4 linked regions of the Stegostoma tigrinum genome follow. The protein of the gene in region 3 interacts with the protein of the main gene of each other region in a pairwise test. Links are inferred from orthologs where the notes say so. Each region holds a gene or a part of one and is shown on either strand. Other genes may lie near its edges.

Region 1 (7,724 bases), on a different chromosome or scaffold from region 3:
GTGAGGTGGCAGGAGCGGATAGGCGGGAGAGAAGACTGATAGGTCAAGGAGGCGGGGATGAGAGGGAGGGTTGGACTTTGGGTGAGGCCAGGGGTGCGGAGATTTTGAAGCTAGTAAAGCTAGTGTGGCCTCCTCTACATTGGTGACACCAAGTGGAAGCTTGGAAACTGCTTTGTAGAGCACCTGTGCTAAGGTCACGACAAATGACCACACCTTACAATTGCAAAACACTTCAACTCCCCCTCCCACTCCCTGTACGACACGTCCATCCTGGGCCTCCTCCAGTGTCACAATGATGCCATCCGGAAACTGGAGGAGCAGCACCTCATATTCCACCTTGGAAGCCTACAAATCAATGTGAACTCTACTAGCTTCAAAATCTCCCCACTCCGGCCTCATCCCAAGATCAACCCTCTCCCTCATCCCCACCTTCTTGACCTGTCCATCTTCTCTCCCACCAATCCATTCATCCCACCTCACTGACCACTCCCCACCACTATCTACCTGCTATCACCATTCCACCTACCTTCCCCAGGCAATCCCCCACCTATTTATTTCAGAGCCATCTTCCCCTCCTCCAGTTCTGAAGAAGGGTCCTGATCTGAAATGTCTGCTTTCCTGCTCCTCTGATGCTGCCTGGCCTGCTGTGTTCCTGCAGCTCCTCACTGTGTTATCTCTGACTCCAGCATCGGCAGTTCTTACTATCTCTGAGTGGGTTATCATTGTCTGAATCAGATGGTTGCAGGTTCAAGTCCTGCCTATGCACAGAATTAATATTGATGTTCCCAGGGCAGTATTGAAGAAGAGCTGCACTTTTCGATAAGATGATAAACCACAGCCCTGCCTTCCTTTTCTGGTGGATGTAACTGACTCCATGATGCCACTTGAAAATAAGCAGGACAGTTTGTCATAGTCAATATCCATTCCACAACTAGCATAATTAAAAGTACTCATGGTCGGTAATATAGTTGTTTTTGAGAGAGTTTGTGCAATTGACTACTGTGTTTGCCTAATTAACAACAGTGGTAGCATTTAAAGGCAGTTGGTTGGCTATGGATAGCTTTGGAATGTTCTGGTGATGTAAAGGGTGCTATATAAGTGTAAAGTTCTGTAAAGGTTCAGGAGCACTTTAGCTTTAATCCACTGAGCTATCAGTAGAGATTGATCATGCTTAAAACTAAGTCTAAGCATGGGATAAACTAGTTCATTGCTTTGTGGCTTTGAAGAAGACAATTCACTGTCTTGCAGATATTATGACTATTTTGTTTCATTTTTCAATTCACTTTTCTTTTGCTCCTGGGGTACCAGTGCTTCCATAGTCATCCACATCAGCGCTACTGATAAAACTCAGTAGTGTACTGTGAATTAAAGAAAGCTAAAATGAATGAAAACTACTTGTAGTCTCGTTCAATGATAATTCAACAGAAAGCAGGGGTTGAGTTGGGTGCGGGTGGAGAGAAAGATTGACTGAATAACATTGTGAAGCCGTCTGTGGGGGAATAGGATCTCATATTCATAGCAAGACACAAGGTCAAAGTCCAGTGAAACTAGGCTGACAGTATTAGGACAAATGAAAATTTCTAGAAAATGCTGCAAATATAAAACAGGTCAGTTGGTATCCGAAAGAAGACAAGCTATGGTTTCTTGTGGTACTTGATTTCAGAGCTAGGATGCTCTGGCATGGATTGGTATTACACAAATTGGGGGCCAAGGGATATATTCTTCATATTAAAAGATGCAAGTTTGAGAGGATGAATAAAGGGACTGGACATATTGTTTTGTTAACACCCAGATATTAATGCATTCTGGTTACAATCAACAGTAAATTGTGTAAAATGTTGCAGAATTTAAAGCATGACTTTATTTATGCTTGGGTTACAATGTATGTTTGTTGCTATGTTAAAAAGAAAATTGATTAAAATAATTCTATGGCTTGGGTCTCACTGCTCCCTTGTAAAGTTTAAGATGCCAACCTGCACACTGTGCAAATAAATGCTGCTCCATTTCTTGTCAATGGATGATGATTTTGACATTAGTGAATGTGGAAACGATGAGTAACTCTACACAGATTCACTTATTCTAGCCAAACTAACTAAGCAGAGTGAAATATTTCATTCAAGCAGGAAATTATAACATCGCCAAGGTTAATACTCCTACTTTTCAGGCACTAGGAGACAGAACTGTGTGATTCAAAACTCAAAACATTAATAATGATCCTGATATCCCATGCAAAAAAATATAAATACCATAATGTTTAAAATCTTAATGCTGTGTACTCTTTTGGCAACTTTTTCTATTGTAAGTTCCTTTGACCACTTGTTCAAAGAGAAATGCTCATGTTTAAAAATGCAAGGCTCCAGTTAAACCTGACATCACAGGCAGGTGGGTATCATCAGGTCATAGAGATGTACAGCACAGAAACAGGCCCTTCAGTGCAACTCGTTAAAGCTAACCAGATATCTTAAATTAATGGAGTCCCATTTGCCAGCATTTGGCCCAATTCCCTCTAAACCCTTCCTCTTCCTTTACCCATTCAGATGCCTTTTAAATATAGTAATTGGACCAGCCTCCACCACTTCTTCTGGCAGTTATTTCCATGCACAGAAACAGACCCTTCCTTGCACACACCACCCTCTGCATGAAAGAGTTGCCCCTTAGGTCCCTTTAAATTTTTCCCTCTCACTTAAACCTATGCTCTCTAGTTTTGAACTCCCCTAACCTGGGGAAAAGACCTTAAATGTTCATCTTATCCATGCTCCTCATGATTTTATAAATTTCTTGTTGTCACTCCTTAGCCTCCGACTCCAGGGAAAATAGTCCCAGCCCATTCAGGCCCTACCATTCAGGCCCTACCTACAGCTCAAACCCTCCTACCCTGACAACTTCCCTGTAAATCTTTCTGAACCCTTTCAAATTTCACAGCATGTTTCCTATTGCAGGGAGACCAGAATTGAATGCACTATTCCAAATATGGCCTAACTAATGTCGTTCACTGTAGAACATGACTGTCCAACTCCTATACCTAATGCACTGACCAATAAAGGAAAGTGTACCAAATGCCTTCCTCACTACTCTGTCTACCTCATTCAGCAACAATCTCCAGGACCTTACCATTATGTGTTTCAAGTCCAGCCATGATTTGCCATACAAAAATGTAGTACCTCACATTCCAGTGTGACGAGTTTCTGTAGGTACCAGTATGGTTTTGATGATATTGGCTGAGCAATTACATTGGGGGTGAGATTGGGGAGACTGAAGAGGATATAGGGTGGGAATCCTTTCTGTTTTTCATCAAAAGATGGCATTGGGAATTTTGCACCAATTTGAGAAAGTAGGTAAGGCTGTGATTTAATGTCCTGTCTGAAGAAGGGTCCTGACCCAAAATGTCAACTTTCCTGTTCCTCTGCTGCTGCCTGGCCTGCTGCGTCCTTCCAGTTCCACACTGTGTGGTGTCTGACTCCAGCGTCTGCAGTTCTTGCTATCTCTAAGTAGCAGCCTTGTTGCCTTACCAGACCTTGACATATACAAAGTCAACTCATACTCTGGAGTGGGACTTGAAAAGTCTTAGAAGAAGGAGTGCTACCCACTAAGCAATGTCTGTTTCCCAAGCACTGGTTAAAAAAACCCTTGAATCCAATCTAGCAAATGCATAATCAGCACCCCATCCTCCACTTAAACATTCACTTCGAACACTTTCAGCTCACTGCGGTGAGGTATGCCGCAGTGATACATGCAGCCAACCACACAGTCTCATTTGACAGTGCCTTCTGACCTGTGACCTCTACCATCTACAGAGAAAAGGGCAACAAAGGTACACGGGTACAGCATCATCTGTAAATTCCTTCCAATCAACATTACCCTGATTTTAAAATATTATCATTCCCTCTGTCGCTGGGTCAAAATCTTGGAACTCCCTTCAGAACAGCCCTTGGGTGTAGCTACACTAATTGGACAGCAGTGGTTCAAGAAGGCATCTTCTTGGAGATAAGGGTTTCAAGGTCAAACGCTGACCTAGTCAGTGACGTCCTGAAATGAATTTTTAAAGAGGATATAGGGTGGGAATCCTTTCTGCTTTTCATCAAAAGATGGCCTTGGGAATTTTGCACCAATTTGAGAAAGTAGGTAAGGCTGTGATTTAATGTCCTGTCTGAAGAAGGGTCCAAGACATCAACCAACACCACAACAGCTGGATCCATGATTATACGGCTCCACCACAATGAAATAATTAACAACGTTAGTGTAGGATCTAATAAAAGCAAAAATAGAAATTGCTGGAGAAACTCAGCATGTCTGGCAGCAACTGTGGAGCGAAAGCAAAGTCCCAGTGCCCCTTCGTTGAAGGTTCTGAAGAATGTCTGCTTTTGTTTCAGATTTTTAGCGTCTGCAGTTCTTTATTTTATTCTAATAAAATCAAAATACTGCAAATGCTGGAGATCTGAAAAAAAAACACAGAAAATGCTGGAGATACCCAGCAAGTCTGGCAGCATCTGTGGCCACTGAAGCAAGGTTAATGTTTCCAGTTTCAGGATGAACGCGCGGCTGGGTCTGGCTGAAGATCTTGAATCAGATTCACGCTTTCCAAAAAAGGGCACTACCGGTCACGGTGGCAGTGCGGACGCAGTGATTGGTTGTCATTTGAATTGTTACAATGAAAGGGGCGGGGCCCTGGTGGCCGGGCGGAATCCCCGCGTTTGTAGTGCATTAGGAGCTGGCTTATAGGCACATAGTGCCACGTTGCGTTAGTTTTATAGAGGCATGGAATAAATGTTATGAATGTCCAAGCTCATCAGCAGCCGCAGCCGGGGTACAGTTACGTTATTGAGCTTTTTTCCAAGCCGGTACTTTTCTTCCTAACAAAAAAAAAGCAAGATGTTAACTGACAGCATAATAGAGGATTTTGAACGCCGGGAGGAGGAACCGTGGTACCAGCAACAGCAGAATATGGAGCACGGTGAGTTTAAAGTTTAAAGGCGCTTCTCCAGGTTGGAGTTGGTTGACAAGCACCAAGAAAATAGATTGCACGCTGCCAGTTTTATCCTTGCCTTGCTGGTAGATACAGCTGATGAGGGAGATCTGAAATGAAAAACAAAATAATGGAACCAGACATCATCTGGAGAGAAAGAAGCGCTCAATGCTATAAATTTGTGACCTTGCATCGGCACTGTTCTTAAGAATCTTTCTCCTTTAATCTGTGTCTAGCCTGAACCGGGACGGAGGGAAATAATAGCGCTGTTCCCACCCAGTTGACTCGGCTTTTGTGAAAGAGACGAGCACAATGTCTGTGTTTCTTATTCGCAAAGGCCAAGTAAGTTGTTTGTTAATTACAGCCTGTGAACATTGATAAAGGTGTTATTTCCTGAGCAGTGGAGTTTACCGCAGTCGACGTGTGCAGAGCATCAGGAGGCCATTCGGCCAACCGTGTCTTTACTGGCTCTTCTTGAGATATCCATCGAGTTCCCTTCTCATTCACCACAGCTCCCATTCGAAATTTATTTTGAAAATAAATTTTACTTGTACGTTTGCGAGACAAACACCATATCTGGCGAATTTCGTTTCAGACTGCTGTAGAGGCCGGGGTGGGGATTGGTTAGTGGCTCTGTCGCCGGGAGTCCGGCATTGACCTCAGTGTTTGGCGTGGCCTGGCTATCCCGCAGATCTCCGGCCCCTTTCCCGCTTCCCTTGCTGTGTCTGTGTCTGTGGCTGTCTCTGTTTCTGCCTCCGTCTCCTTGTGTGGTGTGTCTCTCTCTCTCTTACACAGCGCGCCTTTTCTCAGTGGCTTGCCCTGGCGAGAGCTGTCGCCATAGAAACCTTGTCCTAGTGAGAGGCTGATCTGCTCTAATCGAAAACCATCCCTTCCCTCCCTCCCCTGGAGCTTTATCTGAATCCCAACCCGTTATTTAACGAGGAAAAGTTGGCTTCCGCTTGGATTAAGAGAACTGGCAGTTTGCCTCCAACTGGACTCTGAGGTGGGAGTTCAGGCTGGCGGAGAGGCTACTTGGCCCCTCGCTTCTGTGCTGGCTCTTTGTAAGAACAAGTTGTGTCACTCCCATGTTCCCTTCATAACCTTACACGTTTCTCCCTTTCCGGAATTTCAAATTGCCCTTCTAGAGTAGAATCTCCTTTTGTTTCTGCTTCGGGGGGGACGGGACACAGAGCTGCTTTGTTAATTATCCTAAAACTGCCCTTTACTAATCGGCCCTCTTGCCACTAGAAATCATCTCTCCTTTTATTTACTCCATCAAATCTCCTCCTCATTATCAGGAAAATCCTCTTAAGCCTCCTCTTCACCTTTGTGCAGAAAGTAGAAACCTTACAATATCTAGACGGGTTTATCACGAGTGTTTTGACAATGCTAAGCCGCTACACAAATCTGAACCTGCCTCTTTGGGATATTTCGAACGGAAACACTTGATACTTGGAAGATATGGACAACGATTTAAGTATGTTTCATGCTGTAATATCTACATGCGCCTTGGGAGTAATATAGTACTAACAACGAGGGGCATCTCTGGATGTGTCCACTGCTCATAATCTGTTGTTCAGGCTGTGTCCTTCCGTTTAACTGATTTTTGTCCATCCATCCATCCAAAGATTGTGACTTTAGACCCCCTCCTCGGAACTCCCGGTGACATGGTTTATCATTAAAAATGAACTTGGCTGATGGGAATTAGTCCACCAGGCTGGTGAGAAATTGAGGTCCTCATATGGACAAGCTGTGGGGTAGGGCCAGCCCATCATTTGGAGTGGGTCCCAGGCTGATATTTGCCTAACTTGCTTTCCCCAGTGTCTCAGAGACAATATGGAAACAAATGTGTTTTTTACTTGCTCTGGAATACACACAGAAACTCATTTAAAGATGTCATAAAAGACTTTTGAGAGATTGGAATTGGAAGGACAGCTTCAGTTCCAACTAGGACACAGCATTAAAATCTGCTGAATAATAAGAAAAAGATGCTCTTTGAAGCACTCAGCAGTATTATCAACATGGGTTCCCATTTTCTTTGTTGCATCCTCCTATTGAATCAGACAATGAAATGAGATTAAATCAGGAGACTCCACGGTCTAAAGGAAATCAAGGACTCTTCACTGTAGACGTCCAAGCAACAATCAGGCAAAACAATTAAAAAGCCATTGAAAAACTGGCAATATGTGATGCTAACAGAGGAATATAGAATTTTTGTTTTGTGGGGTGGGGTTAAACTAGCTGCACAAAGCCAGGCCACATTTGTTTCCTAAATTTATGGTGATCCTGATACAGCAGTTTACAAACCCTCCAAGAAAATCATTTTTAAGTGGTAATCTGGTTGAGTCAGTGGGCAGGACCAACAGTCTCTGATTCTGTCTTTTTGTATCTTAGATCAGCCAAAAGCACTGGCTAAAATTCAAGTGAAATGTATGTGGAGTAATGTTGTAAGAGACTGGGAGTTGTAATTTACCCTGCATTTAACTTAATTTTGTTTGTGTGCTGTTACTGAACGATGTTTGAAACACTCACCACATCAGACAATATTAGAGAAATGAGAGTTAAATTTCACGTCTTGCAGTTTCTCCACAGATGCTGCATGGCACTTCCAGCGTGCTCTGTTTCTCTTTCAGGCTTATCATATTTTTGTTTTTGTTTTGCCCTTTTACCAACCTTTTCTCTAGTGACCTGATTGCCTGTCTGCCTTCAGTGCTGTAGTTATTGGATTCACTGTCCCATGCTGTTGAAATCAATATTTTTG
Region 2 (7,277 bases), on a different chromosome or scaffold from region 3:
AAATGCCCTATCTTTAATCTACTGATGTTAAAGCGTAAGTTAGGACACATTGTACATTTTGTACAAAAACAAAAAAAACTGAAAAACTCAGCAGGTCTGGCAGCATCCATGGACAGAAAGCAAATTAACATTTCAAGTCTGTTGACTTTTCTTCAGAACTCCAAAGTGCAAGTTGCTTTTGATGATGGTGCCGGATGAATGTTAAGATAATAATAAATATATTAGACAGCCATACCTGATCATTTTTGTTACTATCACTATTAGCTCTGACATTGCAAAACTGCCACAGCTGAGGGGCTGCCTGGATGATGTGTGACATAAGTGCGAGATTTCATGTACAAAAAAACTGAAAATAATGCCACATGATAGAGAAGTGATAGGCTATTCAGACCACTGGATTTGCTCCATCATTTGATCATGGCTGATATGTTTTTCAACCCCCTTCTCCTCCCATCTCCCAGTAACCTGTGATACCCTTACTAATCAAGAACCTATACATCTTTGTCTTAAACAGACACAATGACTTGACCTCCACAGTCTTCCAAGGCAATGAGTTCCACAGATTCACTACCCTGTGGGTGAAGAAATTCCATCTCATCTCAGTTCTAAAGGGTGATATTTTTAATCTGAGGCTGTGTCTTCAGGTCCTATTCTTTCCTCTTAGTGGAAACCACCTCCACATCCACTCTATCCAGCCCTCTCAGTATTCTGTAAATCTCAATAAGATTTTCACCTGCCATCCTTCGACACTCCATCAAGAACAGTGCCAGTGGTCTTAACCGCTCCTCACACCACTCCTCACCCTTCATCCCTGGGATGACTATTGAAAATGTCCTCTGGACCTCCTCCAAAGTCAGCACATCCTACCTTACATATGGAGCCCAAAAATGCTCACAATATTCTGAATGCAGTCTGACCAGAAGAACTTGGAAAGTCCAGTTATACAGCATCCTCAGTATAACTCTGCTCTTATATTCCAGCTCTTGCAATCAAGTGTTTGCCTTCCTAACTGCCAACTGAGCCTGCATGTTCTAGTTCAGAATCTTGAACTAGAACTCCTAAGTCCCTTTATGCTTCAGATTTCCAAAGCCTTTCCCCATTTGGAAAATCATCCACCTCCTATTCTTCCAACCAAAGTTCATGACCATACAGTACTCTTTCTGCCACTTCTTTGCCCATTCTCCTAGCTTTTCCAAGTCCTTCTGAGGCCTCCCCACTTCCTCTAATACACTTATCCCTCCACCTAGCTTTGTGTAATCTGCAAACATAGCAACAATTCTCACAGTTCCTACATCCAGATCATTAATGTATAACATGAATAGTTGTGGTCCCAACATTGACCATGCTGAACTCCATTAGTCACGGGATTCCATCCTGAAAAAGACCCCTTTAATCCCATTCTCTGCCCTTTGCCAGTCAGCCAAGCCTCTATCTATGCCACTTTCTTGCGCCTAACACCATGGGCTCTTCTCTTATTTAGCTGCTTTCTCTGCAGCACTTCATCAAAGGCCTTCTGGAAATCCAAATAGATCAGGTTCACTGGCACTCCTTTGGCAAAGTTGCTCATCACTTCCTCAAAGAATTTTTATAGATCTGTCAGGCATGAAGCCTTGATGAAAGCACTGGTGATTCAGTCCTATTTTATCATGCATTTCCAAGTACTCTCAACCTTAATAATGCTGGAAGGGTCACCAGACCCGGAACATTAACTCTGTTTTCTCCTCCACAGATACTGCCAGACCTGCTGCGCTTTTCCAGCAACCTTGTTTTTGTTCTTAATAATGCACTCTAAAATTTTACCAGTGACCGTTCTAAAGTTTCCTATTTTCTGCCTCCCTCTCTTAAACAGAGCCATTTTCCAGTCCTCTGGGACGCTTCCTGATTCCAATGATTCCCGAAAGATCACCACCAATGCCTTCACAATCTCAAGTATCTCCTTCAGAACTCTGGGGTGTAGTCCATTTGGTACGGATGATTTATCAATCTTCAGACCTTTCAACATCCCCAGCACCTTCTTCTTAGTGGTGGCCATGACACTCACCTCTGCCCCTTGACTATCCTGACGTTCTGGTATGTTACTGGTGTATTCCACAGTGAAGGCTTATGCAAAGTATCTATTCAGATACTCCACTATTTCTTGTTTCCTTTACTACTTCGCCAGTCTCATTTTTCAGTTATCCAATGTCTACACTTCACTCTGTTACCTTTCAAATATCGAATAAAACTCTTGCAATCCTCGTTTATATTACTAGCTAGCTTACCCTTATATTTCATCTTCTCCCTCTTTGTGTTTTTTAAGTCATCCCCTGCTGGTTTTTAAAGGCTTCACAATTCTCTAGTTTCCTACTAGTCTTCCCAACGCAGCACGTTTTTCTTTTGCTTTTATGCTGTCCCTGACTTACCCTGTTCGCCATGGTTGCCTCGTCCTTGCCTTAGTATGTTTCTTTCCTTGGGATGAAAATAGTGCAATCAACCAGTATTAGCAACCAGTTTCCAGAGAATGTTTACATCTGTGTAAATATTCAGTATGCCAATTAGTATTTTCAATTTTGAGTGCTGCCAGGACAATTTAGAACAGGACACGAAGCTATCGCCAAACATCATCATGCTGTCACAGCATGTCCTACTTCAAGATGGTGGAGACAGAGCAGGAACAGTTCGGGCTTGTTTGCTCCAGTTGCTTGTCTTTCTTTTTAATTTTCCTCATTTTTTTAAACTTACCTTCTTATTGAGAGCAGCAGCATCATTGGCGGCAATATGAGTTCAGTGCAGAAGCGTGACAAGTTTTTGGATTCTTGATGGTGGAAGCAAGTTTGGGCCCAATCCAAGACCCAGTAGCATCAGCGACTGCATCACCGAGTTTGGACTATGATGCAGACTTGGGTCAGCAGCCAGGTCAAGTTTGAGCCCGTACACTCAACTGCATTGGTGGTGGTTACATCATCGGCAAGGACTCATGGTGGCAGCAGCATTAGTAGAGGCAACATGGGGGTGAAGAATGGCAACTCTGTTCTAGTGGCGGCAATGCAGTAAAGGCAGACTGCTTCATTCTTGGATCAGTGATAATGGGAACTGCAGATGCTGGAGAATCCAAGATAATAAAATGTGAGACTGGATGAACACAGCAGGCCCAGCAGCATCTCAGGAGCACAAAAGCTGACGTTTCCGGCCTAGACCCTTCTCTAGGCCCGAAACGTCAGCTTTTGTGCTCCTGAGATGCTGCTGGGCCTGCTGTGTTCATCCAGCCTCACATTTTATCATCCTGCTTCATTCTTGTGTTGTTCTTAGCATCGGGGTGGGGCAAGTGCCCAGATCCAGGTCTATGCTAAGCTGAACATTTCTTTATTTTCTGCCTTCACTTTCTATGTTTTGGTTTATTTTCTGTGTTTCAAACTGGTGCTGGATAATGGCGACACTAAACAATTTTCACTGTATTTGTAACAATAATAAATCAAATCAAATTCATTAATAGTATTCCTTATTTTGCGCAGTTGAGCCAACACAGGCCACATGGATATGAAAAGCAATGAAGTGTTACCATATTATTATGTTTGAATGCATTACAACAATAGTGTGATACCACGACCATGGTAAATTTATTCTGAATTGCTTACACACGTCAAATTGTGAAAATATTGACTGGTAAAACCTTTGCCTTGTTAAAATGCATAAATTATTTTTCATGCTGAGTACGTTATGCACTCCCACGCCGTCTGTCCCTGGAACCACAGTTATCCCACCTTTAAACCTACCTCTTTGGGAAAGCTTTGCGTTACTCGTTGCTAACGTCGCCGATCGTGACAACTTTATATATCTTAAATTTCTAAACAGGTTTGAATATTTCCTGTAAAAACACGGTATGACCAGTCGGACAAAAGTTGTACCCTAGCCTCAACCCGGGTGCAAAGGAAGCGAGGAAAAGGCTGGCAGTGACAGACTTCGGATACAGATGCAGAAAATGCTAGAAACACTGAGCCGCGTCCAGAAAAACTGATCAACATCCATTCCGTGGAAGCGGGAAGAGGCTGCCACCTATCAGCGAGCTCAGATCTACCTTCTCCAGAATTAACCGATCACAGGGCCCAGAATACCAGAGCCGGTGAAGGAGCAGCCTATCGTAGCTTTGTGATTGCAGGCTGTACCCCGAAAAAGCCAATCGTAGCGCTTATGGGTGTAGACCCTTCCCAGGAGCAGCCAATCGTGGAGGCCCGCACGCCGGCACTGCGCGAGAATTAACCGATGGCAAGGCACTGAGCTCATTTCCCACCCCTTCCTCCAGCCAATGAGCAGGAGTCGTGAGCGGCCCTTAGCCCAGTTGATGTTCCGCCGCCCAGAGAAGGAGCTGTGAACGGCTGTAGGGGTAGTGGCAGTGGTGGACGAGAGTGTGGCTTGGCTGGATTGGACATGGCGGCTACAACCGTCTCCACCCAGAGGGGCCCGGTAGGTTTCCTCTTCTTATTTTCCAGTTATGGGTGATGTGAGACTACGATCTCTGCGGAGTGTGCGGCCTTGTCAGGGAGTAGGTGTACTGACTGAGCTCTTGGGCTTGGCTGCGCCAGATCCTACCCGCAGCTGGCTGCCGTCCCCGTGTCTTGTCCCGTCCTTCCTGTTTTTGTAATGCTCCTTTTTTAAAAAAAAAGTTCATCTTGGAATATACAGACAGAAAGATCCTGAGGATGTTTACTGTCTTCTGATATGTCTTAAGAACGTTTAAAGGGCCAATCAGGAAAATAACTGGACAGATTGCTTCAGAAACATTTCCATCAGTATAGGATAGTTACGTAGAGATATTAGGAACTGCTGATGCTGGAGAACCTGCGATAACAAGGTGTAGAGCTGGATGAACACAGCAGACTTATGTTTCGGGTCTGGACCCTTCTTCAGGGTCTAGGCCCGAAACGTCAGCTTTCGTGCCCCTCTGATGCTGCTTGGCCTGCTGTGTTCATCCAGCTCTACACCTTGTTATCTAGGACAGTTACGTAGCGTCTCGATGACGGTGATCCCACTGTTTGGAAATAGAATTCGCTTATCCTGACGTTCTTGAGTGTTTATCATGTTGGTAATGTGCCGAATAGATAAAAAGCATCTGTTGTAGGGTTGCCAACGTTGGGTGTATTCCTCGTGGTTTCATCACACAAGTCCTACCTTGTAACATCCCAAGTTCTACCAAAACACACTGTCCCGTGCTGATGATATTGGTTGCCCAATTTATTAGTCCTCGTTGCGCACTGCCTTCCGAGATTAATTGGAAAGTGAGCAATGTTAATCACCGTATTATGTGATTCTTGACTGTTCGAGAATCTCAGGAAGCTCATGGTGTGGAAAGTCATTAGGTTTATTAGTTTCTGAAACAGCTATTTGAGCACTTTATCTTCGTGTCAATCTCCTTTCTTTTGGTACATTGTTTCTGTTTAAATAATTGTCCGACGCTCTCTTGAATACTTCCATTACTGGACAATGCGTTCCAGACTCCACCTACTAACTACTTGAGGGGGAAAAAAGTTCCCTGCATTTTCTTCTTTTGCAAGCCATTTTGAAACCATGCCAGCTGATTCTTGATCCTTCTGGAAGTGGGGACAGTTGCTTCCGATCCACCCTGTCTCGACCCCTCATGGTTATCAAAACTATTAAATCTCCTCTTAGCCTTCTCTCCAAAGAAAACAGTCCCAATGTCTTCATTGCCTCCCCAAAACTGAAGTGTTTCATCCCTGAAACCATTTTTTTTTTGCAAACCTCTTCAGTCTTTCTGGTATATTCACAGCCTTCCTATGGTGTGGCACATGGAGCTTGTATACTCCAAGTGACATCCGAGTACCAAGGAATGACCATCTCTAAGGAGAGAGAATCTAACATTGACGTTCAGTGGCGTAGCCATTACTGAAACACTCAATCAACATCTTGGGGGTTACCATTGATCAGAAACTGACGTGGACTAGTCATATAAGTATAGCAGCTGGGTCAGGAGCTGGGAATCCTGCAGTGTGTAACTCGCCTTGTAACTGCCTAAAGCCTTTCCACCATCTCCAAGGCAAAGTCAGGGAATTCTTCTCACTTCCCTTGATGATTGCAGCGCCAACACTCAGGCTTGATACCATCCAGGACAAAGCAGTCCACTTGAATTGGCATCATTTTCACAATCATTCAGTCCTTCCACCAATGACGCTTAGCAGCAATGTGTAATATTTACAAGATGGTCTGCAGGAATTCACCAAGGCTCCTAAGACTGAACCTTTCAAACCTATACTCGCTAACATCTAGAAGGACAAGGGTAGTGGACATGTAGGAACACCATCTCCAAGCCACTTTCCATCCAGACTTGGAAATATATTGCCATTCCTTCAGTGTCATTGTTTCTAAATCCTGAAACTCTCTCCCTAATGGCATTGTGGGTGTGGCTTCTCCATACAGACAGCAGTGGACACATTTATACTTTGTCTCCATGTTCTTTGTGCCAGAATGTATCACTTCACACCTGTATGTTGAATTTCATCTTCCGACCATCATTCCAATCAAGAACTTTCAATGGTTTACGAAGCCAGAACACAAGCATATAGTTCAAGATACCACAGGATTTAAACTTGTACATCGCCACAAAGCTGCCTTGCCTTGACCTCAGCAGGCTTGTTTTCCACCGCCTTCAAGCTGTATTTCCGTTCATAGACTGCTTTTTTCCAGTGATATTGCCAAAAGACTCACCATCAGCAGCGACCCTCATGGGATGTCGAACAGCTCCCCAGATGGATTATTCTAGACAAGGGGGTGACGTTTCTGTGACGTGTTGTCCTGTGGGTGAATTCATCCATGATCCCATTTCTTGGGCATTGTTCAGGGTTGTTTTGGAGTTGGAAGTTTCAATTCATCCTGCCGAAGAACGCATTCCATTCACACCTCTCGATTGCAAGCACTTTGAGCACATTAGAAATTGGAAATTTGGAAAATTTTGCCACCTTGGTTTTTTTTTTTTGACGCCATGCCCTGTTTTAATGGTGTATCTACCGCTATGTTGTTGCATCGTATCGCTAACTCTAAGAAAGTGTGTAAAGTGATGCTGCGAATGCCTTTAATTTCCTTCTTTGCCTTGACCTCAGCATGTCAACTGCTCAAAGCATTATTGCTAAGATTCGGAATTCCGTGTCGACTTTTAACCTTTTGAGACGTTTTTGTTATCCGTTTGACTGACTTGCAAAAATGTCCTTCAGTCTCCTTTTTGTTTTAAAATGGTAAATGTTTGAATCTGTTTTTTAAAAGTAACGATTTTGTTTTTTTTTGAAAGCTGT
Region 3 (7,638 bases):
TACAATTAAGCCTTTTTTAATTTTTGTTTTGTTTGTCTTTTAACTCTGGTTCAAAAATAAAGTTTATTTTGCTTAAAGTTGAGTAATTTTGACCAATCAAATTACATCTAGAACACAATGCCTCTTACTTTTAAAGTAACAAGTTAGGGTCTCAGCTATCTTAATATTTGGTCCATAACAGATGTAACAGTTTCCACAGTCAACTGCAAACCCCAACAACTGCTGAGTGAAAATAAAACTCTGGTTCCGTAGGAACCTGATTCCACCCATTCATGTTGCTTCCATTATACTAACGTTTAAAAAATCCCAAGGCCTCATGACTATTTATTTTATTAGCCTGGAGGAGGCAGTTTTTCATCGATACTCAAAACCTCTCTTCAAAAAGACACAGGGCAAAATGCTCCTCTTAAAGCCATAATATCATTACACCTTCCCCTACCCCTTAAAAGAAAAATGAACTATCAATAAACATAGGTGGCTTCATTTTTAAAAACCTTTAGTTTTATACTACAGGAACCAGCTCTGTGCTAGCTGGGCCAGTGTCATATGCTACGCACATGTAAGTAAAAGGTGACTTGGTGATGGGATACTGGTCCTCGTGGAGTTATTTCACCGACAAATGTGGTTTGAATCAACAATATCAGCATGATCACCAACCATCTCATTTGTTTAGCTACTTTCTCACATGAAATGAAAAAGGCTCCATGTCCTTCTCAGAAATGTTCCACAATTGAGAAGGAGACCTTGAGTTTGATGGTGCAACATTTCAACATTTATGTTCCCAGTAATGCGCCTGAGACAATTGTATATACTGATCATAAACCCTTAATGTTTTTTGGAAAAATAAAAACAGAGAAATACAATATTGCCAACATGGAATTTGTTGTTAAAGCCACTTAATTTAAAGATTATATGCATGGTATGACGAGAGAATGTAATTGCTGATGCGTTGTCACAAGTTTAACGAAAGAAAATGAAGGTGTTTGTTGGCAGAAGAAACTGATTGAAATGGACTGTAGTGTTGAATATTTGCACGTTTAGAGTCAATGTAATGTTTGTGTATTGAAGTTCTATGGGAGCCTGACTCCCCTGTTCATGCTGACTCTATTTTTCAACTTTTTAAAAATCCCCACGTCCTCACAACCTGTACACTTTATTGGCTTGGAGGAGACAGCTTGGTGCCTATGGCTCAACACCTCTCTTCACAAGAAGGAGAAAATACACCCAAGGCCATGGTATTGTCACACAGTTTTCTAATCAACTTGTTCAGAGATGTTATTATGCATCTCTGGAATAGGTGGGTCTTGAACACAAGCCTCTCTGTCCAGTGGTAGGGACAAATAAATATTAAATGGAACTGTGAAAATAAAAAGTCTGAGTAATGGTGACCTTGGAACTATTTGATAGCTTTTCTAAAAAATCTATTTTACCTTGTCTTTCAAGAAAGGAAATCTGCTATCCTTACACTGTCTGAGCTTCATGTGACTCCAGATCCATAATGATGTGGTTGATTTTTAACTGGATTCCGATATGGCATTCCATGCCACTCAGTGATCAAGAAGACAGCTTACTGTCACCTTCTCAAGGACATTTGGGAGGGGTAACAAACACTGGACTTGCCAGTGATCATATTTCCATAAATAGACTCATAGTCATAGAGTCGCACAGCCAGAAACAGACCTTTGGTCCAACCAATTCATGCTAAACATAATCCCAAACTAAACTAGTCCCACCTGCCTGTTCCTGGCCCATATCCCTCCAAACCTTTCCTAGTCATGTACTTATTCAAAAACCTTTTAAACGTCGCAATTGTACCCATATCCACTACTTCCTCTGGAAGTTCATTCCACACCCAAACTACTCTGTGTGACTTTTTAAAATTTCTCTGTCTCCTAAAAATGTGCCCCCGAGACGCGAAATCCTCCATCTGAGGGAAAGACAACCACCATTAACTCTATCTATACCACTCATTATTTTATAAACTTCTATAAGGTCACTTCTCAACCTCCTACCCTCCAATGAGAAAGGTTCTCCCCAATCTTCATAATTTTATTAAGTTATACAGTAGAGGCAATTTCACACATATCCCAAGTGTTCTTTTAGGGAGCTCTTGATTTTCCTAAAAAGGTGGAATAGGTGTGTAATGGTGGAATTCAATAGCTAGATTCACAAGGAATTGAATAAATACTTTGAAGAAAAATTTGCAGAGCTAAGGGGAACAACTTAATGAGAATAATTTGTATAGGTGCTTCAAAGGGACTGCAGTAGTAGAATGAGCTGAATAGCTTCCTGTACTGTATAATTCAGTGGTACTGGGTACCTGAAGCTGTCCAATTTTTAAGGTATATTGTACCTTTTAATTCTTACACCCACAATCTTTTGACTGTCCCTTTTCAATAAGTCCAGTTGATGCCCTTTTTTTACTAATAGTCAAAATATTACTGCAAACTTTGTTTTAACCGATACCTTATGGCCAGCATTTTTGATAAACCACTAAGAATTATATACCTCAAATATAGGAAGTTTACTGAATTATCACAATCTCTGAGTAGTCAGTCAGTTCAGGGTGTGAGAGGGCTCTCTGCCAGTAAGGTTTATTTCAGGCAAAGTTGCATTATTATTTAAGTGATTTATGCTGCAAATAAGTAGAACAGCGATGTGTATACCGCCGCATTACATTTCTATTAATTAGTGAGAGTTTTTATATTGATTATGTGGACCTCTTGATCAACTGGAATATTTAGTCAACTCACACGCTCCTGATCCCATAAGTGTCCATTAATAAAAGGTTTGCTGTAGTCATCCTGTCTAACACAGAGTCCCACTGCAGGAGAATGAACATGTAATCTCAGTACCTTTCCCCAGGGCAGGATTGACTGCCACGAGGGGTCATAGTTTTAAGGTGTTAGGAGGAAGGTATAGAGGAGACGTCAGAGGGAGGTTCTTCACCCAGAGAGTTGTGAGCGCATGGAATAGTTTACCAGTGGTAGTCGTGGAAGCGGAGTCATTAGTGACATTTAAGTGACTGCTGGACATGCACGTGGACAGCAGTAAATTGAGGGGAATGGAGGTTCGGTTATTCTATTTTTGCTTAGGATTATTCCACGGCACAATATCATGGGCCAAAGGGCCTGTACTGTGCTGTACTTTTCTATGTTCTACCTCCACACTACTGCACTGGTTGACTATCTTCATCATACAATGGTCTCATCTATGCTCCAGTTAAATGTAAATGCTCACCCTTGCACTATTTTGTAGGGGTGTGTGGAATTAATGACGGATACTTATCTCTCCACTAACATCACTAAAACAGATTTTGCAGTTATTATAACATTGTTTAAAGATTTTGCTATATCCAAATTGACTGCTGCAATTCCTACATTATATAAACCTCTCCATCTTTCTCTCCTCTTCATGTTCAAAACCTATCACTTCACATTAGTTGACATCAAACTTCCAATTTTCTTAAATACCTATGTTTGTTCAGTGCTACTCCTTTTTGTTTCAATTTACTTTCTCTTTGGTTTCAGTATCTTAGACATGTCTGCCTGGGGTCCAATTGTTTCTTTGACAGTCTTCATGAGAAAACTAATCTTCAACTAGAAATCTGCAGACATCTACAAGCACACCACTGGGTTCAAAGGAAGGGACACCATCGCTGTAACACAAGATCAGCTAACCCTATAGTCTCAAAATTTCTCAATGTCGTGATTTGAACACACAACTTTTTGACACTGCGTCAGGCACAAAACTGCTGCACCACAAACCGAGTTGTAAATTATGAGAGATAATGGGAACTGCAGATGCTGGAGATTCCAAGATAATAAAATGTGAGGCTGGATGAACACAGCAGGCCAAGCAGCATCTCAGGAGCACAAAAGCTGACGTTTCGGGCCTAGACCCTTCATCAGAGAGGGGGATGGGGGGAGGGAACTGGAATAAATAGGGAGAGAGGGGGAGGCGGACCGAAGATGGAGAGTAAAGAAGATAGGTGGAGAGGGTGTAGGTGGGGAGGTAGGGAGGGGATAGGTCAGTCCAGGGAAGACGGACAGGTCAAGGAGGTGGGATGAGGTTAGTAGGTAGCTGGGGGTGCGGCTTGGGGTGGGAGGAAGGGATGAGTGAGAGGAAGAACCGGTTAGGGAGGCAGAGACAGGTTGGACTGGTTTTGGGATGCAGTGGGTGGAGGGGAAGAGCTGGGCTGGTTGTGTGGTGCAGTGGGGGGAGGGGATGAACTGGGCTGGTTTAGGGATGCAGTAGGGGAAGGGGAGATTATGAACCTGCTGGCACACGTCCACGAACACATAGCTTCAGGTGTGACTACAACCAAATTTTCCAGGCCAGAGGTAGAGACATGACCAGGATATCCATAGAGTTAAAAGCAACAATTGAAGGAAAACGTGAATGAATTCAACGCCTACTCCCCATATCAACCTAATACAATTCATATTGCTAATTGAAGAAAGTGCATAATTATTTCACACTGTTACGAAAGACAGGTTTTAACATGACAGCTTTACGCGTCAACGTATTAAAACACTTCGTTGAGGCAGCGGAGGTTGCGCACGCAGGCGGCAGTATCCCAAACGTCAAAGAAAGCGAGGCAGTCTTCTTCCGTGTGCACCTGCTATTCCTTCCGGCTTCCTGTTTTGGTCCTAATCCCCGATGAATGGTTCCTAAGGTTGTAATCCCATTGGTTCTTACCTTGAGCCAGTTTTGTTTGAATGAATTCGCTGTTTAGTATTATGAATGAAAATTTAGGTATCCTGCAATTTAGTTTCTAATTTGTCGTTGTTGCGAAGTTGTTATGAGTATCCCAAACCCTGAGAGGTTAGACCCAGGAGGTAAGAGCCAGATCTCAGCCATTCGAAAGGAGGATTGTGTGTACACCAGCTGTTATTGGTAAGCAGGCCTTACTGGGAAAAAATGGTCTCAGTTATTTAATGGGGGTGTAAGTCCCACAAATTGTGCGACGTTTTCCATAAATTAAACGGAAGTTGTGTTATCAGTGTATTTTTTAAAAGGAAAATCACTACTGTGATCTGACGTGCACTGGCTGAAAGCGCAGCGGAAGCTGATTCAAATACTGTAGGGACTTTCAGTAAGGGATTGGACAAACATTTCTAAGGATAATTTGCAACGCTACAACAGAGGAAGAGAGTGGGATTGATTGGGCAGTTTTATTCAAAATTGCCGGCCGAGATATATCGAACTGAATGGCCTCCTTTGCTGGAATAGTCCCTAAACGTTACCTTCTCCCAATCACCTGATCTTGACAGCTTTGGATTTATTTCTCCTTTTAGGGGGAAGGCCAGCTGTTTGGGCCCTATATTCTGGAATCGCTTCCCAAAACGTATGCTTCTCTCCTTTAAAACCTACCTCTTTGATCAGGACTTTGGTCACCTGTTCTATTTTTTTCACTGGGTGCTCAGTTTCAAATTTTATTTAATAATCACATCTTAAGCGATTTTATTTTGTGAAGGTTAGTACTTAAAACTTACAACAACAGTTTATTTGTACTTGTCTGCACCTGCCTTCCCCTACAGGGTTGCTCTCCGACGAATCAATGGAGGATTTTCACATGGTTTTGTTCTGCTATGTCAGTGTAGATCCTTCTATTCAAATAGCACTTGTTTTGAGCTGAAATTAGGAATATGCAATATAATTGCACAAATGTACTTTTTCTTTTGAAGGATTGTTCATAATTTACTTTTAGGACTAAACAGTTATTTATTGTCAACCTGGCTTTTAATGCTGCTAAAGTGTAATCAGCATTGATCAAGCTATATAAGTTATATTGTTAGCAGTTAAAGTATGATTGAAAATATTTAACTGCTTTCAGCAATACTCTAATAGACTGTAAATTCCATTTTGCAGACAAGTTGTATTATTTTTCTTTTGAGTCTCCGCTCCCAAGCAGCATATTTCATTTTCTTCCATGTGGAAAGACAGGTCCAGGCTCAACTCTGTGACCCTTGGGTTTAGTACACTTCTGGCATCTTTCTACCTTCCTACAAAGGCCAGAAAAATGAGGTATCAAAAGAGCACTAGAACCTCTACAGTCCAAGTCCAGCCATGAGAGCAGATTTCAAAAAATAAAAAGAATACAAAACTTAGTTTGTACTTGTAATTGTAGAATATTGCAGAACTGAAGGAGCCCATTCAGCTTGTCGTTGTTTGTGCTTGTTCTTCTAAAAAGTATTCTGCTTGGTCCTACAGCCGAGTTTTTTTTTGTCTGTAACCCTGTAAATTCCTCATCACTAGGTACATGTCAAAATCTCATTTTAAAAATTAGTTTTGGAATCCTTTCTGTGGTTCAGCATTACAGAATCTGACAGCTGTGCGAGTAGAAATATCTTCCTCATGCCCCTCTGCCTCATTAACTAATAAGTTTAAATCTACAACCTCCGGCTATTGACTCACTTCTCAGAAACAATAATATTTTTATTGACCATCCCAAAACCTCATCATCTTAAAAGTCATTTTTTGAATTCGATCATGGGGATGGCCAGCATTTGTTGTCCATCCTTAATTTCATTTTGAGTAAGCGGTAGTGAGCCACTTCCTTGACCTGCTGCATTGCTTGGTTTGTGGGTACAGTTCCGGTATTTTGACTCAGCAACTTTGAAGAAACAGTGTTATTGTTTCCTGTCAGAAGCTAAGTGGCTTGGATTGGAACTTGCAGGTAGTAGTATTCCCAAGCAACTGTTGCCCTCGTCATTTCAAGTGGGAGAGTTTGTGGATTTGGAAGGTGCTGCCAAAGGAGCCTGGTGACTAGTTGTAGTGCATTTATTGGTGGTACACACTGCTGCTGTGCATCAGTGGTGAAGAGAATGAACTTTAAAGGTAATGGATGTGATATTAATCAAGCGGCTGCTTTGCTGTGGATTGTGTAAGCTTCTTTAGTGTTGTTGGAGCTGCACCAAGCCAGGTAAGTGATGAGTGTTCACCACACTCTCGACGTGCCATGTTAATGGTGGACAGGCTTTGAGCAGCTTGAAAGTGAATGATTTGCTGCAGAATTTCCAGCCTCTGACCTGCTTTTGTAGCCATAGTATTAACTGTATATTTAGCCATCTCTGTTCTAAAGAGGATAGTCCTGACTTTTCCAACTCCACCGCGCAACATACATACATCATTCACGCCTCTATGCCCAAAAGCGGTGCCCAGAATATTGTAGCATTTGATTTAGACAAAAAAGTGAATATTTTTGCAATAAATGTTCACATTTATATTAAAATATGTTCTTAGTGAAGAAAATATATGGAAGCTTTGTGAATACATAAGGAACAGAAGACAATATCCTCTGGAAGAATGGTACACTGTTTTCGTGTCAAATGACCAAAAGATGGTAAGTGCAATCTACAATTGAATGTACGTTTTATTAATTCAAGGTACAAGAATTTCACCAAATTCCTGCTTTGTCTGTATCATAGAATCACAGAACTGTTGCAATATCAAAGGACATCTTTTAGCCCATTCTGTCTGCTGAGGCTGTCCAGTTAATCAGTATATCTCATGTTACCCACCAACCTTCACCCTGTACTTGCACAACCTTCCTTTTCAGATAATAATCCAGTTTCCTGTTGAATGACTCAATTGACCTTGCCTCCACCATGCTGTCAGGCCGCCAATTCCAGA
Region 4 (7,353 bases), on a different chromosome or scaffold from region 3:
ATCTTCGGTACAGGTACCTAGGCACAAATCCTGGATACAAAAGAGGAATAAAAGGAAGAACAGTAGAATTACTTCGTGTCTACAAAATAAGTTAGAAATAAGATACTTATAACATAGTTAAGGGATTGACATTACAGTCTGGTGATGAAATTTTAAATAGCAGCGGCTCAGCATATGGTCTGACCAACCACAGTAGGCTGCAGTCCAACAGCAGTCCTGCTCTGCTGCAAGACTCCAGTGTGTTCCACACTCAGCTGCACCAAGGTAAGTTGCGTTGCTGTAGGACTTGCTTTCTCTCACCCCGCTGCAGGACTCACTTGCCCTCGCATTGCTCCAGAATTTGTTCCCCTCGTACTGCTCTAGGATTTCTTCCCATCGTGCTGCTTTTGGACTTGCTTTCCCCAGTACTGCAACAGGACTCATTTCCCCTTGCATCGCTCAGGTCTGTTTCCCCTCATGCTGCTCCAGGACTCAATCACCCTCACATCACTGTGGGACTCGCTCCTCTTGCGCTGCTCAGGGACTGTTTCCCTGCATGCTGCTCTGAAATCCATTTCCCCTCCTGCTACTGGGGACTCACTCCCCTCAGTGCTGCTCAGGGACCTGTTTCCCCTGATGTTGCTCAGGGACTGCTTCCCCACATGCTGCCCAGGACTGCTAAAAAGAGAGACGAGAAAATTTTCAAAAAGAATAGGCAGTGCAGGTGAGCCCTGGGTGGAAGCATCCTACTCTGCTCCCATCTTGTCAGAAAGGCTACATCTTTATATTTTTCTGTGTTTTTGAGCGTGGAATGAGACAGGAAAAAGTCTGTTTGGAAATACAAGAATTATTGAAGGATTACTGCACTTTTAAAAAGCATATTACCTGTCATTCTTTGTAAGTGCTGTTTACACAGCTGTCAGTTGAAACAGTGGGGCAAATCTAGTTGCCGACAAGCTGGAACCACTGGGCTGTGTATGGATGGAGATTTTTTTTTCTGGCAACAAATACCTCATTGGTCTGTGGAATGTTGACTAGTTATTGATGACAGGCACCTCCTGCCTCCCAGTAACTATGCGATTGACTGCCAGGTAGCTGAACAGTTTGTGGGTGTGAACGTTCAGACCAGAAATCATCAAACCTCTGAAAGAGGAGCTCCTTTCGCTCTGGAGTAGAAAGCATCTCAAGACTGAAGATGATCAGTTTATTTCCCCTTGTCAATTGCTCTAAGTTGTTACTTTTAAGAAATTGTAAGTTTTCCTCCAACAAACAAGAGAACATGCCTGGTGAAGTGGGCAGGAACTATTAAACAGCTTTTTCAGTTTTCCATATGCCCATAACATCCTTTTTTGTGTCTGTCTGTGTATGTGTGTAGTGGAAATGTTTATAAGAGGGTTAGAGTTTTAAATAATAGAGTTATATGCTGATGATTCCAAATTGTTTATCTGTTGTCAATATCTATTTGTAATAAATAGTAATGATTGTTAAGATTGTTAACCTGGACTGTCCTGTCCAACCCGGGTCTAAATGACAGGTAAATTGGGGAATTCTATTTGCTTGTTCAAATCTGTAACTTTTGTGACTACTGTGAGAATAGCAGGGCTTGACTTTTATCCTGCTGCTCCAGTGAGGTGTAGCTCATGCAGAATTTTCTGGAGAACTCAGCAGTTCTGGCAGCATCTGCAGAGATAAAGCAGTATTGGCATTTCGAGTCTAGTGATCCTTCTTCAGAATAGGTCACAGGACTTAACGTATAAACTGGTGTGCTTTCTCTCCGAAGATGCTTTGAGACCTGTTGAGTTTCTCCAACAAATGCTGCTTTTATTTTAGAATTCTGGCATCTGCAATTCTTTGTTTTATTGAGATATATCACAAAACTGACTAAAAAAACTTAGTCGTTAAATATGTTCAAGAGGGAGAGTGATGGATTTCTGTGTTCTGAGGGAACTACATGACATGTGAGCAGTATAGGAACATGGGGTTTAGATGGAAGATCAACCATGGACTTGAGTGGCAGAGCAGACATGAATGGTGAAATCACCTGTACCAGCTCGTTTTTCTACGTTCTCAAGTTTGTTCACACCCTGGGATCTAGGTATCATTCATGTTCTCCAGAGATAAGTGTGATGAGTCACTTAACAAGAGTGAGTAGTAAAAGAGAGATAGCAAGAACTGCAGATACTGGAGTTAGAGTTAACAAAGTGTGGAGCTGGAGGAACACAGCAGGCCAGGCAGCATCAGAGGAGCAGGAAAGTTGAAGAAAGATCCTGATGTGAGTTTTTCTGTTCCTCTGATGCTGCCAAGCTTGTTGTGTTCCTCCAGCTCCACACATTGTTGTCTTTGAGTGCTAAACGACACATGACTCGATATTGGTTGGATTTAATGTTGCACATCAGGGTGAGAAACATAGTAGCAAAGCCCACTTAATGTTTGGAGAGGCTCCATGTCAATCTCTAAACAATGGTAGATCTGCCCCATTTAAGTGAGGGAACAGAAAGGGTAGCATTCGTGGCCATCAGTGGCAAAATGTCAGTTATCCTAATTAATAAGCCAATTGACATCTGTTGCTCCTGAGCCTGCTGCAGTTTAATAGTGGCTAAGGGATTGAATGGAGGTCGTATTTTTCTCCCAGATCACGTGAAGTCCACCCAGCCAACCCAAAGAAATTTCAGGCCTCCTAGAAAAGGGGGCACCATAGAAATAAACTAGGGGCACAAATAGGCCATTGGGCCACTTGCCACTCAATTTGATCGTGGCTGATCATCCAACTCGGTAGTTTCTGCTTGCTCCCCATACTTCTTGATCCCTTTAGTCCTCAGAACTATGTCTATCTCCTTCTTGAACACCTACTTTGTTTCCCATGGGGGATACTGGCCGCTGAAAGCCAAACCCTGTGCTACTGTGTAACATTCATCCATCCTGGCAAATCCTGTTCTACCTTCTCTGATATTTGGTCTGGGTGTGTGTAGTTCCAGTTGCAGCCACCACGCCTGCTGGTGCTCGAGGCATCAGGAGCTCTGCAGGTCTCTGTAGGTGGGATTTCTGCCATCAGGGTCCTCAAATACAGTCAAGACCTATCTGTAGCCATCTAAGTGCCTGAAGGTTATTTGATTTTACTGGGCTTCCCTTACTGAACTGGCAGGGTTCCCCACCAATCCTGCTACCAGTGGGCAAGATCCCCTTTCTGAGTGATTGAATATGAAAGTGATTGATTGAGGGAAAATGACAATGTGAGAATGAGCTGGAGCGAGTGACGATAAGAGAGTCAATTAATCTGACTGTAGAAGTGGTGAGATATTGAGAAAAGGCAGGAGTCAGTAAGTGATTCAGTGAAAGTGAGTGAGATTTTGAGTAATAATTGAAGAAATGAGTGAATGAAATCACATTTGTGTGAGATTGAGAGTAAATTTATATGGGAATAAGACTGTGATGACAAAAGGTTGAGTTTACTGAATGACAATGAGACACTGAGTGAAAGTCTGAGTCAGTGAACAAAATGAATCAGCGATAAAGTGTGAATGTGTGCTTGACATGCCTCAGTGAATGATACTGAGAATCCACTGAACTAATAGAATATGGCAGCTGTTTTGATGTTCAGCATTCACCCTTTTACCCGGCTGAATTGTATTTCTACCCACTGCACACATCCTCCAAGCCCAACCTACTCATTCTAACCCAACCATTTAAAACCCCTACTCACTTGACTAACCTATTCAACCTGTCCTTACTCACCCCTCTCACCCTCTTGAAATCTGTCTCAATCCCGTTAACCACCAATAAACTACTCTTCCACCTTTTCACCCCATACCAAATGGTCTCACCTTCAGATACTCCTTTCATCCTCCTCTCATCCCTTTCATCTGTCACTCACCCTCCCAGCCTTTCACCCCTCACTTATCCGACCTCACTTACCCACTGCACTCATCCATCATTCCATTTCTCCTAATTAAACTGCCCACCCTACTACCTCCCCATTCATGCTCACACCCTGTTATCCACCACACTTATCCTCTCATCCATTCCACTATTTAGCCTAATTATTTAGTAAAATGGAATGATTTCTAACTGATCCTTGCTTAAAAGAAATGTTGTATAGTTGTTAGTTACTGTTATATTGTGACCACAGCATCTTCAAGAGAAGGAAGAAAAGTTGAGAAAAACAGGATAAAAATGATAAATGAACACTGATGTGTCTGAGTATATGTGTCCCTGTGTAAGGAGCCTGCAAAAACAAATACAGTTGCCACAAGATACAGCCTGTCTAAGATTATTTTTAGCATTTGATCTTGCTCGTTTCATTTCTGCATTGAGCTCAGAACAGCTGGGAAGCCTGGGAGAGTGAGCCAAGGCCAATTCTGGAAAATCCAACAGACGTATCGTTCAACAAGTGGATGATTATTTGATTTTTAAAAAAAATTTCAATGTGGAAGACTGTGGAGAAGGCTTACTGAGGTTATACAAAACAGCATTGAATCTTGTGAGCAATCCGGAACCAAAACGTTTTTGAAGTCCCTGGTGCCACTCGTGTTGTTTGGTGGAGTAGTCTGTCCAAATGATTTCTGCCTTTTACCTCAAGGAAGCTGATTGAAATGTTTTGCTAGTGTTTATAACTGAAAAAGTAACTAACCTGTTTCCCTGTTTTATGAAACCAGGTAGTTTCCTTCCTGTGTCTGTGGCCTGCATATCTTTCTCTTATTAACAGATCTCTTTTTCACTGCACTGTTTTGAAATATTGTGTTCCTGTGCCTCATGTCATCAACTCGATGCAGGAATCACGACCAGTCCAGACCCAATCCAAAATGGCTGGCAAAGCTGCATTGTATCCTATCATCAATCGTAACAAGGATATTACCTATGCCAAGAGCGGGGTCTTTCAGCAGCTGAAGGACGAGTGCCTGAGAAAAGGTGTCTTGTTTGAAGACGAGGAATTCCCTGCCAATGACTCCTCACTTTTTTACTCTGTGGGTATGCCCTTCAAGCTGGAATGGAAAAGACCCCCAGTGAGTGACATACTGTTTATTCAATAGTAGCTTAGTCTGTGGGATACATTTATACTGGCCTGCTGTAGCGTGATGGAGATTTGGGATTTGTGTTTCTTGTATATATTTAAGGGTGAGATTGATAGATTTTTGATCAGGTGAGGAATCAAGAGTTGCAGGGAATGTGTGGGAAAATGGATGTGTGGAATATTGGATCAGTGGAACAGCCTCCTGTTTCTATTTCTTATATCAGTTTGCAATATTTCCCTAGTCTGATAATTACTTCCGTTAACTTGTTGCATTTCTTTTAATGTATGTGGATGACTTGCAGCATGGTTGCTGTGAAATTTTGGCTGGCTTGCAATAAACGTACAATTTAGGAGTAGGAATTGACCACTCGAGCTTGCTGTACCATTCAATAAGGTAATGTCTGATCTAATTGTGGCCTCAACTCAACATTTCCAAAACCCCTAATTATTACTGACTCCCTTGTTAATCAAGGATCTCTCCAACTTGGCCTTAAAAATATTCAATGGACCTCACTTTGACTGTTTTCTGGGAAAGAGAGCTCTGAAGATGTACATCCCTTTCAGGAAGAAAAGAATCTTCATCTCCATCTTAAATCAGAAATCTATTATTTTTAAACTGTTCCTCTAGTTATAGTCTCTCCCACTAGGGAAAATTTCCTTTCAGCATTTAGTCTGTCAAGCTCCCTCAGGATCTTATATGTCTCAGTATGATCATCATGCAATCTTGTAAGCTCTGCAGTTGGCTACGTTGTGGTTCCAGATTTTATTACCCATCTGTTTTTATTGTCAGATTGTTTGGCCTTGATATAGAGTCCCTGCTAATGGCTGATTCATGTTGGTATTCAATAGGAGTGATTCTCTCTGACAATTGGCCACATTGACTGTCCAGTTGGTTGGTGGGAGGGAGCACTACCATCAAGGGGCCACAGTCAGGATGAGAGCATCAACTCCAGGTAGTGACTGGGAGCAGGGAAAGCTGGGGAGTTCCTCGAATAGGTAGGTAGGAGTACTCCCTCACTTCTTGGCATCCAATAATACTGACGGGCTGCTTACTTTGGGGAACTTGCAGCTTCTGCTTAGGCTCAGTGGCTGAAAAATCCCACTACGCAGGCCTTCACCAGTATGTGTATATGTACTGCACATTAAATAGGTCCCTGTTTGCCTTCTGTGCAAGCCCAGTCTGTGCCCCAGTCCCTGTGCTTTAAACTTGAAAGGGACAAAAATAAAGTTAGATTCTGAAATTTTAATCCATCCTTAGGGCGGCATGATGGGTCAGTGGTTAACATTGCTGCCTCACGTGCCAGGGGTCCAGGGTTCAATTCCACCCTCAGTTGACTGTCTGTGTGGAGTTTGCACATTCTCCCCATGTCTGCTTGGGTTTCTTCCGGGTGCTCTGGTTTCCCCCGCAGTCCAAAGATGTACAGGTTAGGTGGATTGGCCGTGCTAAATTGCCCTGGAGTGTCCAGGGATGTAAAGGCTAGTCGGGTTAGCCATGGGAAATGCAGGCTTCCAGGGTATGGGTGTGGGTCTTGATGGGTTGCTCTCTGGATGGACTTGATGGGCTGAATGGCCTGCTTTCACACTACATGGATTCTGTGAAATATTCTCCCAGGATTTAGGAGGTAGTTAAAATTTGTGATTTTGATACATTGTAGACAAGACCAGAATCAATTTCTTATCACCTGATGCATTCTCATCAAAATGAGAATAAACGTTCCCCTGTAGTTTGTTGTCATTATACCTTTAAAAACAACATAGTTACCTCTTTGATAACAAATTGTGGAGCTGGATGAACGCAGCAGGCCAAGCAGCATCAGAGGAGCAGGAAGGCTGACGTTTCGGACCTAGGCACTTCTTCAGAAATAAAACAGCAATTGCCCCTCCACTGCATTCCACTCATTGCTCCAGCTACAGCATTCAGAATGTAAACGATCCATAAAAGGAGAAAACAGAATTTATTAGTAAATTCACTAACCATTACATTGTATTCACAACTACAAAAATGGGACATTGAATTGGAGATTATTTTGCAATTCTTTCAGTCGTATTTTTTCTGAAGAAGGGTCTAAACCCAAAACATCAGCCTTCCTTGCACCTCTGATGCTGCTTGGCCTGCTGTGTTCATCCAGCTCCACACCCTTTTATCTCAGATTCTCTAGCATCTGCAGTACCTACTATCCCTGAAACATAGTTACTTCTTTGTTGTGTGATTGATCATCATCACTGCTCAACATGTTGTGTTAGCTCTATGGACTATTGGTCACTGTTTTGTAGATTTGCTGCCATCATGCTCCTTTTAGTTTACGATCTGCAAGGCCGTCTTGGTCTAGAGTGGTAGAGGGAAACCACTTGAATGAGGAGAGACC

The links.
Region 1: the proteins of ntaq1 (region 3) and cdr2a interact in binary tests that used the Homo sapiens proteins (3 or more experiments, as listed by UniProt). The two-hybrid records come from large-scale screens. The link is inferred for Stegostoma tigrinum from reciprocal best matches to the Homo sapiens genes NTAQ1 and CDR2.
Region 2: the proteins of ntaq1 (region 3) and tollip interact in binary tests that used the Homo sapiens proteins (3 or more experiments, as listed by UniProt). The two-hybrid records come from large-scale screens. The link is inferred for Stegostoma tigrinum from reciprocal best matches to the Homo sapiens genes NTAQ1 and TOLLIP.
Region 4: the proteins of ntaq1 (region 3) and capn3a interact in binary tests that used the Homo sapiens proteins (3 or more experiments, as listed by UniProt). The two-hybrid records come from large-scale screens. The link is inferred for Stegostoma tigrinum from reciprocal best matches to the Homo sapiens genes NTAQ1 and CAPN3.

What each region holds. Positions count from the first base shown.
Region 1 is NC_081376.1:34,248,493-34,256,216, reverse strand, and holds the start of cdr2a (cerebellar degeneration-related protein 2), read left to right. Parts: upstream 1-4,691; 5' UTR 4,692-4,869; coding exon 4,870-4,951; intron 4,952-7,724.
Region 2 is NC_081370.1:25,089,621-25,096,897, forward strand, and holds the start of tollip (toll-interacting protein), read left to right. Parts: upstream 1-4,269; 5' UTR 4,270-4,404; coding exon 4,405-4,440; intron 4,441-7,277. UniProt on the Homo sapiens protein: Component of the signaling pathway of IL-1 and Toll-like receptors. Inhibits cell activation by microbial products. Recruits IRAK1 to the IL-1 receptor complex. Inhibits IRAK1 phosphorylation and kinase activity.
Region 3 is NC_081358.1:39,416,494-39,424,131, forward strand, and holds the start of ntaq1 (protein N-terminal glutamine amidohydrolase), read left to right. Parts: upstream 1-4,631; 5' UTR 4,632-4,804; coding exon 4,805-4,899; intron 4,900-4,998; exon of another isoform or gene 4,999-5,350; intron 5,351-5,363; exon of another isoform or gene 5,364-5,479; intron 5,480-6,342; exon of another isoform or gene 6,343-6,843; intron 6,844-7,248; coding exon 7,249-7,348; intron 7,349-7,638. UniProt on the Homo sapiens protein: Mediates the side-chain deamidation of N-terminal glutamine residues to glutamate, an important step in N-end rule pathway of protein degradation.
Region 4 is NC_081363.1:83,217,757-83,225,109, reverse strand, and holds the start of capn3a (calpain-3), read left to right. Parts: upstream 1-4,318; 5' UTR 4,319-4,742; coding exon 4,743-4,979; intron 4,980-7,353. UniProt on the Homo sapiens protein: Calcium-regulated non-lysosomal thiol-protease. Proteolytically cleaves CTBP1 at 'His-409'. Mediates, with UTP25, the proteasome-independent degradation of p53/TP53.